Linked DNA regions of Oryctolagus cuniculus. The protein of the gene in region 1 interacts with the protein of each later gene in a biochemical or structural test. Links are inferred from orthologs where the notes say so. Each region holds a gene or a part of one and is shown in the gene's direction. Other genes may lie near its edges.

Region 1 (3,500 bases):
GTTGAGAATCACTGGTCCACATGGGAGGATAGCATATCTCTCATCTGTACCACGATGGGGAACAGTCTGAGAAAAATTGCTCTAACTGCATGGAAGCATTTGAAATTTTTAAGCTAGAGTGTGACTAAGGAAAAAAGATCAAGCCGTGCAAGGATTTGAATAGAAGTTTGAAGTGGTGCATTTACTAAGGCATCAATTGTAGTAGTCTGGGCTTGAGACTAAAAGTATTTGAACTAAAATGGTGTTGGAAGGAATAAATATAAAGCAAGGAGCCAACAATGACTTAAGACAGTTGACTTCTATGGATGTGAGGGTGAAGGAAAGGGTATGTTTAGAGATAACTGCAGCTTCTCACCAGAAATAAGAGTTAGGAAGGATGGCCAGTGGCTCTGTCATCTCCTGCTACTGCACTTCATTTTTCCCTTTTTTTGTTTGGCAGAGATTATGGGCTCAGTTTTAAAGCATGTTGGGATTAAGTTAATGGATGGCAAATCATTCAAGAGGAAGTGATTAGCAGGAAGTTGGGGTGTTCGCACTGCAACTTTGAAAAGTGATTAAGAAAAGAGATTTGAGTGTCAAAGTCATAGAAACCCATAACATCTGTGAGTAAGTGAGTGCAGAACAGAAGAGGGTCAGAGACTGATACCGGGGTAGGAACCGATACTTAAAGAAACAAATCACGTCCTGATGAAACTGGGGGATTGGCTCAGTGTCTTCAGTAACATCTGGAGTTAGCAGTCTCGGTGATTTCTGTGGTCCTATTAGCATTGCTCCAGTAGCTGTTACTGTGTGAGTGACTTCATAGCATGTACTTTGGCCATTAAAATTAAATTGATCTTTATTTCAACAAAGTAAAAGAAACTGCCACCAGGAAGGTAATTTTTTTAAAAACTGATAAATATTTCCTTATGCCTTGAAATTATATGTATTACCAAATTATTGGAATTAAAATTTTATTAGGAGGCAGTTTTATTTCCTTCTTCACCATTTAGAGAGATTGTGTAATAAAGTAAATGCTCTAAATGTCTAATAAAATTAGAAAAAATATGCCTATGCATATGGTGTCTGCTTCTAGAAAAGGCAGAACTTTTTGGTTTTTATCATCTAGCTTAAGACAGCCTCTCAAATACCTTTGGGGTATTTCAACACCCCAAGACCTTTGGAGTATTATTCTAGTTAAATGGCAGAAAAAAAGAGAAGCACACACTGTATTTTTAGGAGTTCTAATAAGAGTGTTTCCCTATTCAAAATGCTAGATGTTTCTAGTCTAGTTTAGTGTCTTTTCTGGAAGATGGTGCTTTATTCTAGTTTTCAAAGCAAAATTAAAAAACGATGGCATGAAATTAATATTTTGGCTGTATGTTAGTAAAAGATACCTGATTAGAGATAATTGATAATTCAGCTAACTAATTTATTTCTGGCAGTCTGAGATTTTAGCTGCAAATTTGTTGTTTTTTTTCTTCTTCTACCCTTCCTAAAAATTTTAGTGGGTTTGTTGAAGCAGTTGCTGGCACAACAGCTGGGTTTGACTGAGAAGAGCACTCAGGAAGACTGGCAACATTTCCCAAGACAGAGGACAGCCTCTCGGGGGGCTCAGGCAGACAGTGGAACCCAGAACTCTGAAAATATTCAGGCGTATCACCCTGGTGAAGGACAGATACCCGTTAGAACTGGAACTGGTGACATTGCAACTTGTTACAGTCCACGGACTTCAACTGAATCTTCTGCTCCACGGGATTCAGTGGTACTGGCATCCCAAGATAGCCAGGCAAGTAGCATTTTAGTAATGGACCACATGATTATGACCCCAGAGATGCCTACCACAGAGCCAGAAGGGGGTCTTGATGAGAGTGGAGAGCACTTTTTTGATGCCCGTGAAGCACATAGTGATGATAATCCATCAGAAGGTGATGGAGCAGTTAAAAAGGAAGAGAAGGATGTTAATTTACGCATCTCAGGCAAGTTTCTTTCACATTTCAACTTGATTTTGATCCTTGTTAAAGTGTCCTGTGTGCTGAAATTGATGTTGTTTTGATAATCAAGCATTATATGTGTGTGTGTGTGTGTGTGTGTGTATTATTTATTTTTTCCTTCATTCAATAAATATTTACTGAGTTTACATCAGACCTCATGCTAGGTGCTGTGAGATACAGCAGTAAATAAAATGGAAAAAAGAAAAGATCCCTAATCTCATTAAGGTTAAGTACTTAGGAGGGGAAAGAGAAATAGGAAACAAACGAATGTCAGATAGTGAGAAATTAGGGAGACTAGGTCGGGCTAAGGGCAGAAAGGAACGAGGGCAGCGGAGGTGCTCTGCCATGTAGTGTTTCAGCAGAGACCTTATTAAGGTGAGGGAAAGCCACCTGGATACCTGGGAGTAGAGCTCCTGCAGAGAGCAGAGTGGGCTGACATCATAGGAAGGTTTTCGTAGTTACGGTCTGTGGGGTGAGGGAGAAGATGGCAGGAGGTGAGACGAGAGGTAATGACAGGGGAAGTGGTAGCAAGATCACGTAGAGACTGAGGTTTCCAGCTTTAAGCTTTCAAAATGCTTACATGAAATTACTTAGAAATGGCTATGAATGTTGGCTCAGTTTACTTTTAATCTGAAGTGAGAGACCTGTCTGATGTGCTTAAACCTAAACTTAGGAATTAATATCTTTTCCTCCTGTCTAATAGCTTTGCAAGTTGTCAGCCTCCTACCTCCTGCTCTGGTTCTGAGGGCAGCACTGATCTCATCAGAGTGCTCTGTCTCTGTTGACAGGAACCTGTCTGATCCTTGATGGCTATGAACTCATGCAGGAGAGCTCTACAGACGAGGAGGTCGCCTCCTCACTCGCCCTGCAGCCTGCCACAGGCATCCCCTCTGCAGACTCTCCCTACCCGCAGCAGCATTCGCCCCAAAATGCTTATTCTGAGGAGGCCGTTTCACCCTTCAGCCCAGAATTCCTGGTCCAGCAGCGCTGGGGAGCTATGGAGGATTCCTGTTTTGAGATCCAGAGTCCTCTGTCTTGTGCAGATTCACACAGCCTGATCATGGAGTACATTCATAAGATAGAGGCTGACCTTGAACACTTAAAGGTACCTCACACTTAAACATGTTAAGAGTTGATTCTAAAGTGCATTTCACAGAGGGGAGTGTGGGGTTACTGAAATGCCAGCGTCGGAGCCTTGTTCAGGTTCTAGATCTGTATGTTTATTTGAGCAATATCCATGAATAGGCGTGGACAAAATGCAATGTCAGCATCGTTTATCTTGTGACAGAAAACATTATAGCTCTACAAACAGTGTGTTTGGGTGAATTTCTAACTTTAAGAGCCTAAAACTGCCTGGGGAAGTTGGCTGGCCTCTGTGGGATAATAGGAACGGTAAGGGGGCTAAGTGGGGTTCGTGTAGCTAAGAATCTAGTCTGGGCAATGCTGTGCCCGCTATCTCCTGTTAATTATCTGTGACTCGCCAGGTAAAGTTGGTGGTTTCCCAGATGCTGTGACAGACAGAAAGTG
Region 2 (3,500 bases), on another chromosome or scaffold:
GATGCGTCCGTGCCCTGGGTGGTGCACGCAGGGAGCTGCATGAGCCTTTGCTGGCAGCCAGCTGCCCTCCTCTGAGAGGGGCTGACAGCTCGTGTCTGTCCTGCGCGTGTATGGCTCAGCTCTCATTCACACCGCCACTTCCGCTTTTCTTCCTGGAGAAGACAAAATTCCCATCAGGAAGTATGCGGACGGCACCATCGACGTGGAGGAGGTGACGGAGAACCCCAAGACGGAGGTGTGTGGCGGAGAGAAGGGGCCTTGCTGCGCGTGCCCCAAGACCGAAGCCGAGAAGCAGGCTGAGAAGGAGGAGGCGGAGTACCGCAAGGTGTTCGAGAACTTCCTGCACAACTCCATCTTCGTGCCCAGGTACGGGTCAGGCAGGTCAGCACTGGCCACTGAGGGAGCCATGACAGGCGGCACTGCTGCTCCCTACAGGTGTAACCCACGCTCAGGGCACAGCCTCCTGTAGAGAACAGGTGGCTCCTGTCCTACTGCTGAGGAGCCGGGGCGCAGAGGGCATCAGGCGCTTGTCCACGCTCGCGAGTGGGAACGCCAGGACGTGGGCCTCTCTCAGCCTGCTGAGGAGGAGTCTTGTTGCAAAAGGGGCAAAAGCAGAGCCAGTTCTGTGGGGGGCCCGGCTTCCGAAAATAGCCCAGTATCCCAGGCACGCTCCACACCCAAGGGTGGGAAGCAGCGTAGAACATGGGCTTTCCAGGCAACGCAGCACCTGCCCCACGGATTCTGGCTGCTCCGAGCGCTCTTTCTGCATAGTGGGGACGGCAGTGGGGGGCGGAACGGCTCCCAGCAGTGCCGTCCGTAGCAGCCCAAGGCTGCAAGTAGCTCCAGTATCTGCAGGTGAACGGATGAGCGCTGTGGTGGAAACATCCCAAGAAATATCGTGCAGCCAGATAAGGGGATTCTGACCCGATGACAGGGACAAGCTTGAAACTACGGCTTGTCCCTGTCCCAAGTGGAGCAGGGCAGACACAAAGGAGCAAGTCTGGAGGACGCCCTGTGATGGGGCGAGGTCCTGTCTGGAGTGATCCCAAGTTTTTGAAAAGGTGTCAGTGACTGTGTGGCATAGTGAATGCAGTGAACTCCCCTGAATTAAAATGCCACAATTTTATGTTGCATGCACTTTCATCGCATTTTTAAGGTTTACTTTGCCATAATAAAAAAATAGTAAACAAAATAGCATATTTTAAAAGGCAGGGGAAGGTGCGGCAGGGGAGGCCAGCAGCGTCTGGAAAAGGAAAAGGAACAGAGCAGTGTGGAGGTGGAAAGACTCACTTGCAAGTCCAGTTTCCTGCTGTAAAACTGCGTTGCTGGGGCCGGTGCAGGGGGTTGAGCCACGCCAGAGCATTGGCATCCCCCATTGGAGCACTGGGTTGCATCCTGCTGCTGCACTTCCAGCCCAGTTCCCGGCTAACACACCTGGGAAGGCAGTAGAAGATGACCCAAGTGCTTGGGTGCCTGCCACCCACCTGGAGACCCAGGGGAAGTTCCAGGCATCTGGCTTTGGCTCGGACTAGCCCTGGCCATTTGGCTACTTGGGTGGTGAAGCATTGGATTGAAGATTGATCATCTCCATCCCTCCCTCTGCTGTGCTGCCTTTAAATCAATCAATTTTTTTTTTTAAGATTTAAAAAAAAATTTATATGAACGGTGGTGAGAAAGAGAGAGAATTAATGGGTCCATCTTCTATCCACTGATCCACTCCCCAAATAGGTGCAATGGCCAGGGCTGGGCCAGGCCAAAGCCAAGAGCCAGGAATTCCGTCTGGGTCTCCCACATGGTGGCAAAGGCTCAAGCACTTGTGCCATTCCCGGGCACATTGGCAGGGAGCGTGATTGGAAGTAGAGCAGCCCAGATGTGAACTGGTGCCCACATGGGATGCTGGCGTGACAACCAGCAGTGCAACCCACTGTGCCACAACACGACCCTCCATAGCTTCTTACTTGTAGACATAGTGTGTGCTGGGTTGATTTTGAAGGCAAGGCAAGAGCTTTGCTGGGTGTAAAAATGGTCCTCCTGGCCGGCGCTGTGGCTCAATAGGCTAATCCTCCACCTGCGGCCCCGGCACCCCGGGTTCTAGTCCCAGTTGGGGTGCCGGATTCTGTCCCGGTTGCCCCTCTTCCAGGCCAGCTCTCTGCTGTGGCCAGGGAGTGCAGTGGAGGATGGCCCACGTGCTTGGGCCCTGCACCCCATGGGAGACCAGGAGAAGCACCTGGCTCCTGGCTTCAGATCAGCGCAGTGCGCCGGCTGCAGCGGCCATTGCGGGGGTGAACCAACGGAAGGAAGACCTTTCTCTCTCTCTCTCTCTTACTGTCCACTCTGCCTGACAAAAAAAATAAGTAAATAAAAAGGTCCTCCTGGCGATAGATGTGGTTCCTTACGTTCTTCCCTTCTAGAATGAAAGCCCTGGTCCCTTCCCCAGCACCTGCCTTCCCTCCCAGGTTTGCCCGGGGGCAGTGCGCAGCCTGGATCAGCTGAGCCCTCCAGTGACTTCTGGCTGCCCCTCCCCGCGGGAGCACCCCAGCAGGGCGCTGACGGCCTCCTGTGTCCTGGGTGTCATCTCGGGTCCTTGGGCAGCTGGGATTCATCCCGTTTGCTCTCTCCCTTTGCCAGCAGTCTCAGCACCTCTGGTCCACGCTCACTGCGGGTTGCTGTTCCTCTGTCCAGGCACTGCTTTTGTGTCGTGACCTGGACGCTTCCTGTCAGGAGCCTGCTTTAAAGGTGTCTGGGGAGGGGGGGAGCCAGGAAGCTCACTTTCCACCTGCCCCAGCAGCAGCGGCGGTCGGAGGGGCCTCCCTGTGCCTCCCGCCACCTCTTCTGCCCTTTGGGTGTGGACGACCATCCTGAGTGATTTCCTGTGGGCTTCTCCTACGCCAGTAGATCCTGTAGCTGTCGGTAGGAAGCCTGCTGAAGTCGTGACGAAGACTCTGCCCCTCTCTGGAGCCTTGGGGAGGCTGCAGGTGCTCTATGCTTAGTGGGAGGCAAAGTCAGGCTGGAGAGGCCTGCAGGAGGGTGGCACAGGCTCGGGCCTGGGGACGAGAATCAGCGGGAGCCCCCGGGGAGGGTCTTGGGGTCCACGCTGGCACGTGCTGCTGGGATCAGGGCATCTCTTACAGAGGTGAGTCACCACCCACAGCCCCTGGAACCCCTCTCCCCCGTCTCCCCAGGGACTGTGGCCCGCACCTCACTGTGCCCTCACTGCTGATAAATCTGTGTGTAGCCAGCAGGCTTGCCCCTTTTCTTGCTTAACTGTAAGATCTGTGACTGAGAGGGCCCCCAGGGCACCAGTGAAACAGCCACCAGCTTAGCGCCTGGCCGAGAGTGGCCGTGGCATTGCCCGCCTCTGGGTGTAAGCCAGTGCCTGCCCCGGGAGCCAGGGAGTCGCTTGCTGCGCCTGAGGCTGCAGAGTGGAGGAAGTAAGGAAAGCCCGTGTTGCTTGTCGGTTTTTATCCAAGGGGGCTGAATGATTCCTTGTCTTCCAAGGC
Region 3 (3,500 bases), on another chromosome or scaffold:
GTCTGTCTGAGGCTGGTACAGGAGGGTAGCACGGAGCCAGGGGCACCCTGGAGGGCCGTGGCAGGGGCAGGTGGGTGGGAGGCAGGGTGAGTGCCTGACTGTGGACCTGCCTCGCTCTGCCTGACTCTCCCGCTCCGGGGCTCTGCACGCCTCCTCGTGTCTGGGTGAGGAGTGGGGGGTGTGGGTGGTTACGGCCGCAGTGGAAAGGCAGGACCCCTGCCCCCGGCGTCTTCCAGCTGCCTGGGAAGACCGAAGGCACCCGGCTTACACTCACGTCAGGGGGAAGGAATCCGCCCTGCAGCACCGTGTGGCAGAGCGGCCTGGCGGAGCAGGGGTGCCGGTGCCCAGGGGTCAGGGCAAGTGTGGGAACCGGCTCTGGCTGCCGAGCCTCGGCGTACTCGTCCGTAGCCTGGGCATGGCCACAGACCCACTCATTCCCCGAGGCTGCTGCAGGAAGGAGGGAGCTTGGTAAAGCCTAACTTTTTGGCTAGAGTTGGGCAGTGAGCGGGGAGTGAGATGTCGGTGCTGGGAGGCCTCCAGGTGAGGTGTGTTTTATTAGCAGAGGGGGTGGTGGTCTCGACGCACCTTGCATTCCTCTGGGGACGGGCAGTCAGCACTTCTGCAAACTGTCTCGCTTTTATCCGGTTAGCAGACAGACGTGTACAAGGCTCCTGCTGTGCACCAGTCACGGGGGATTGACAGTGAGCAAGACAGAGCCTCATGGAGTTCAGGCTGCTGTGGGGAGTTAGACTCACAGGGACGGGGCCGGGGGAGCAGGGAGGCGAGACTCAGAGCAGAGCGTGTGTGAGCCGGGCCTTGAACGGTGCGCAGGGAGTGGATTATCTGGTGGGAGGGGCCACGTGGGCACTGGCTCGGGGGTCCCCTGAAGACTGGGAAGTCAGCCTGGCTGAGCCCTGGAGAGGGAGAGAGAGACTAGGATCCTAAGGAGCTCAGTTGTCAGACTCTTTCCCAGGGCGGAGGGCAGCGTTTGAAAGCAGGGCGGGGGCTCTGGCTGTTGTGGAAGGTGGGCCCTGGGGGCAGCCCCGAGGCCAGGAGGCCAAGGAGGAGGCTTCCGGGGAGGGATGGCCTGTCTCGGCCTGACCGGGAGGCTGGATGTGGGAGTCCTGTGTTCCTCATGTGGTGGGACTGGGCTGGTCTAAACGCATGTGCACACAGGTGAGCTAAGACCTGGGACGGACAGGCCCTGCCCGAGCTCCCACTGTGGCAACTACTGAGGCAGGCTGGGAGCCCCGTGGGTTCAGGGGCCCCTCCTCATTCACATCCTCCCCCGCCCCCACAGATTCCCCAGGCATCCCCCCTAGCGCCGGTGCTCATCAGCTGTTCCGTGGCTTCAGCTTCGTGGCCACCGGCCTGATGGAGGACGACAGCAAGTCCCGGGCCACGCAGGCACCACTGCACTCCGTGGTACAGGTGAGCGGGGCAGGCACTGCCGCCCGTCGTCCTCTCTGTCCAGAAACCACAGAGCAGCGAGCGCAGCCCCGGCCTGGCTCAAACCCCGACACCAGCGTGGAAGCCGTGGAGCCTCCCCGCCCTGGAGTCTCACTTTCCTTATTTGTAAAGCGGGACCATAATGCCTGCCTCACAAGGTGGCCCTGACAAGTGGGTGACAGTGTGGATCTGAATGCCCTGGCGTGGAGCCAGGGTCTGGGTGAATGCCACAGGGCGCCCAGGGGCACGGGGGTGGGGGAGCTGTTGGGTGCCTGGTAGGCATGGGTGGCCGGGCCCTTGTGTGTCCTCACACTGGTCCCTGTTTGGACACTCGGACTGCTCCTTGGGAAGCTGCGAGTTCAGAGGCACGAGTGCAGGGTGAGGGACTGTGGGTGAGAGTTTGGCCCCCGTGTCTCAGTCTGAACGGGCAGCGACAACCCTTCCTCTGTGGTGTCGCCGTGAGGATGACCTGAGTTAGCATGCGTGAAGCGGACACGGCTACAGAATTTATTATCCAGACGGGGCACCTTTGTCCAGGGCAAATGCTTTGTTTTTATATGTTTCAGGAGTTTAATTTTTATTTATTTGTTTTCATTTTATTTGAAAGGGACAGAGAGAGATCTCCCATGTACTGGTTCACTCCCCAGATGCCCACGGGGTGGGTCAGGCCAAAGCTAGGACCCCAGAACTCCACCTGGGGCTCCCATGTGGGCGGCAGGGGCCCAAGTACTTGAGCCGTCACTGCTGCTTCCCAGGGTGTACGTTAGCAGGAAGTTGGCCCAGAAGCAGAGGAGCCAAAACTCAAACCAGGCTCTGATATGGGATGCGGGTGTCCCAAGTGGCACCAAACACCCGCCCAGGACAGATGTTAAACCGGGCTGCATGTGACGATGCCACCACCAGCCAGGGCTGTCCCGGGCCGTGTGGCACCTGCTAGAAGTGCTCACGGCGCTCACTGCCTGGCCCACGGCGCCCACTGAACACCGTCTGGGCTGTCGCTGTTGTTCGTGTCTCAGACCCTCAGGCACCCATGAGCTGGGCTGGGGCACCCAGAAAGGGTAGACAGCAAGTGCAGAGCTGGGACCTCGCCCAGGCCCCTGCGACTCCTGCGTCCCTGTAGGCCTGCCCAGGCTTCTCAGAAACATCACCCGCTCGGTGAGTGCCTTGTGACTCCTGCCTGCCCCCTTCACTGCCCCCTGACTGCAGACTGTAGCCCAGACAGGCTACAGGTGTGCCCACTGCACAGAATAGAAAACTGAGGCCCAGGGGCTGCCAATGTGGCATAGTGGGTAAAGCTGCCGCCTGTGGTGCTGGCATCCCATATGAGTGCCAGTTTGAGTCTTCAGCTGCTCCACTTCCAATCCAGCTCCTTGCTAATGCACCTGAGAAAGTAGTGGAAGATGGTGCCAGTACTTGAGCCCCCCAACCCATGTGAGAGACCCAGATGAAGCTCTTGGCTCCTGCTTCGGATCAGCCCAGCTCAGGCTGTTGGGACCATTTGGGGAGTGAACCAGCAGATGGAAGCTCCTGTCCCCTGTCTCTCCCTCTTTCTCTGTAGCTCTGCCTTTCAAATAAATAAATCTTTAAAAAGAAAATTGAGGCCCAGAGAAGGGTAGGTTCTTGCCTAAGGGTTGCACAGCCAACACCACCCCAGGCCTTCTGACTCTCCCTGGGGGCTTTCTGCCATCTCTACTGAGACCTTGGGTGCTGGGGATGACCGCTGGCATGCTGGAGCCCAGGGTCAGCTCTCCTTCATCTCCCGCAGCAACTCCATGGGAAGAACCTTGTTTTCAGCGATGGCTACGTGGTGAAGGAGACAATCGGTGTGGGCTCCTACTCCGTGTGCAAGCGCTGTGTCCACAAGGCCACCAACACGGAGTACGCTGTCAAGGTGAGCCTGCGGCCGCGTCTTAAACAAGGCTGCTGCTGGGCTGGGGCTGAGGCCAATGCAGCTGGGACCCCGGGTGCCCAGGGCTGATGCCTGGGGCTCTATGGGTGTGCGGCTCAGACTCGGGGGCCTTGCAGAGTGGGATCCATGGGATCCATCCCCC

What was found.
Region 2: the proteins of ARHGEF12 (region 1) and IGF1R form a complex in vitro, tested with the Homo sapiens proteins (2 studies listed by BioGRID and IntAct, with this or other methods). The link is inferred for Oryctolagus cuniculus from reciprocal best matches to the Homo sapiens genes ARHGEF12 and IGF1R.
Region 3: the proteins of ARHGEF12 (region 1) and RPS6KA1 interact in a test that uses a peptide from one of them, tested with the Homo sapiens proteins (2 studies listed by BioGRID and IntAct, with this or other methods). The link is inferred for Oryctolagus cuniculus from reciprocal best matches to the Homo sapiens genes ARHGEF12 and RPS6KA1.

The regions. Positions count from the first base shown.
Region 1 is NC_091432.1:112,976,042-112,979,541, forward strand, and holds part of ARHGEF12 (rho guanine nucleotide exchange factor 12), read left to right. Parts: intron 1-1,487; coding exon 1,488-1,958; intron 1,959-2,761; coding exon 2,762-3,078; intron 3,079-3,500. UniProt on the Homo sapiens protein: May play a role in the regulation of RhoA GTPase by guanine nucleotide-binding alpha-12 (GNA12) and alpha-13 (GNA13). Acts as guanine nucleotide exchange factor (GEF) for RhoA GTPase and may act as GTPase-activating protein (GAP) for GNA12 and GNA13.
Region 2 is NC_091443.1:8,487,693-8,491,192, reverse strand, and holds part of IGF1R (insulin-like growth factor 1 receptor), read left to right. Parts: intron 1-158; coding exon 159-366; intron 367-3,500. UniProt on the Homo sapiens protein: Receptor tyrosine kinase which mediates actions of insulin-like growth factor 1 (IGF1). Binds IGF1 with high affinity and IGF2 and insulin (INS) with a lower affinity. The activated IGF1R is involved in cell growth and survival control.
Region 3 is NC_091438.1:144,943,243-144,946,742, reverse strand, and holds part of RPS6KA1 (ribosomal protein S6 kinase alpha-1), read left to right. Parts: intron 1-1,300; coding exon 1,301-1,431; intron 1,432-3,214; coding exon 3,215-3,340; intron 3,341-3,500. UniProt on the Homo sapiens protein: Serine/threonine-protein kinase that acts downstream of ERK (MAPK1/ERK2 and MAPK3/ERK1) signaling and mediates mitogenic and stress-induced activation of the transcription factors CREB1, ETV1/ER81 and NR4A1/NUR77, regulates translation through RPS6 and EIF4B phosphorylation, and mediates cellular proliferation, survival, and differentiation by modulating mTOR signaling and repressing pro-apoptotic function of BAD and DAPK1.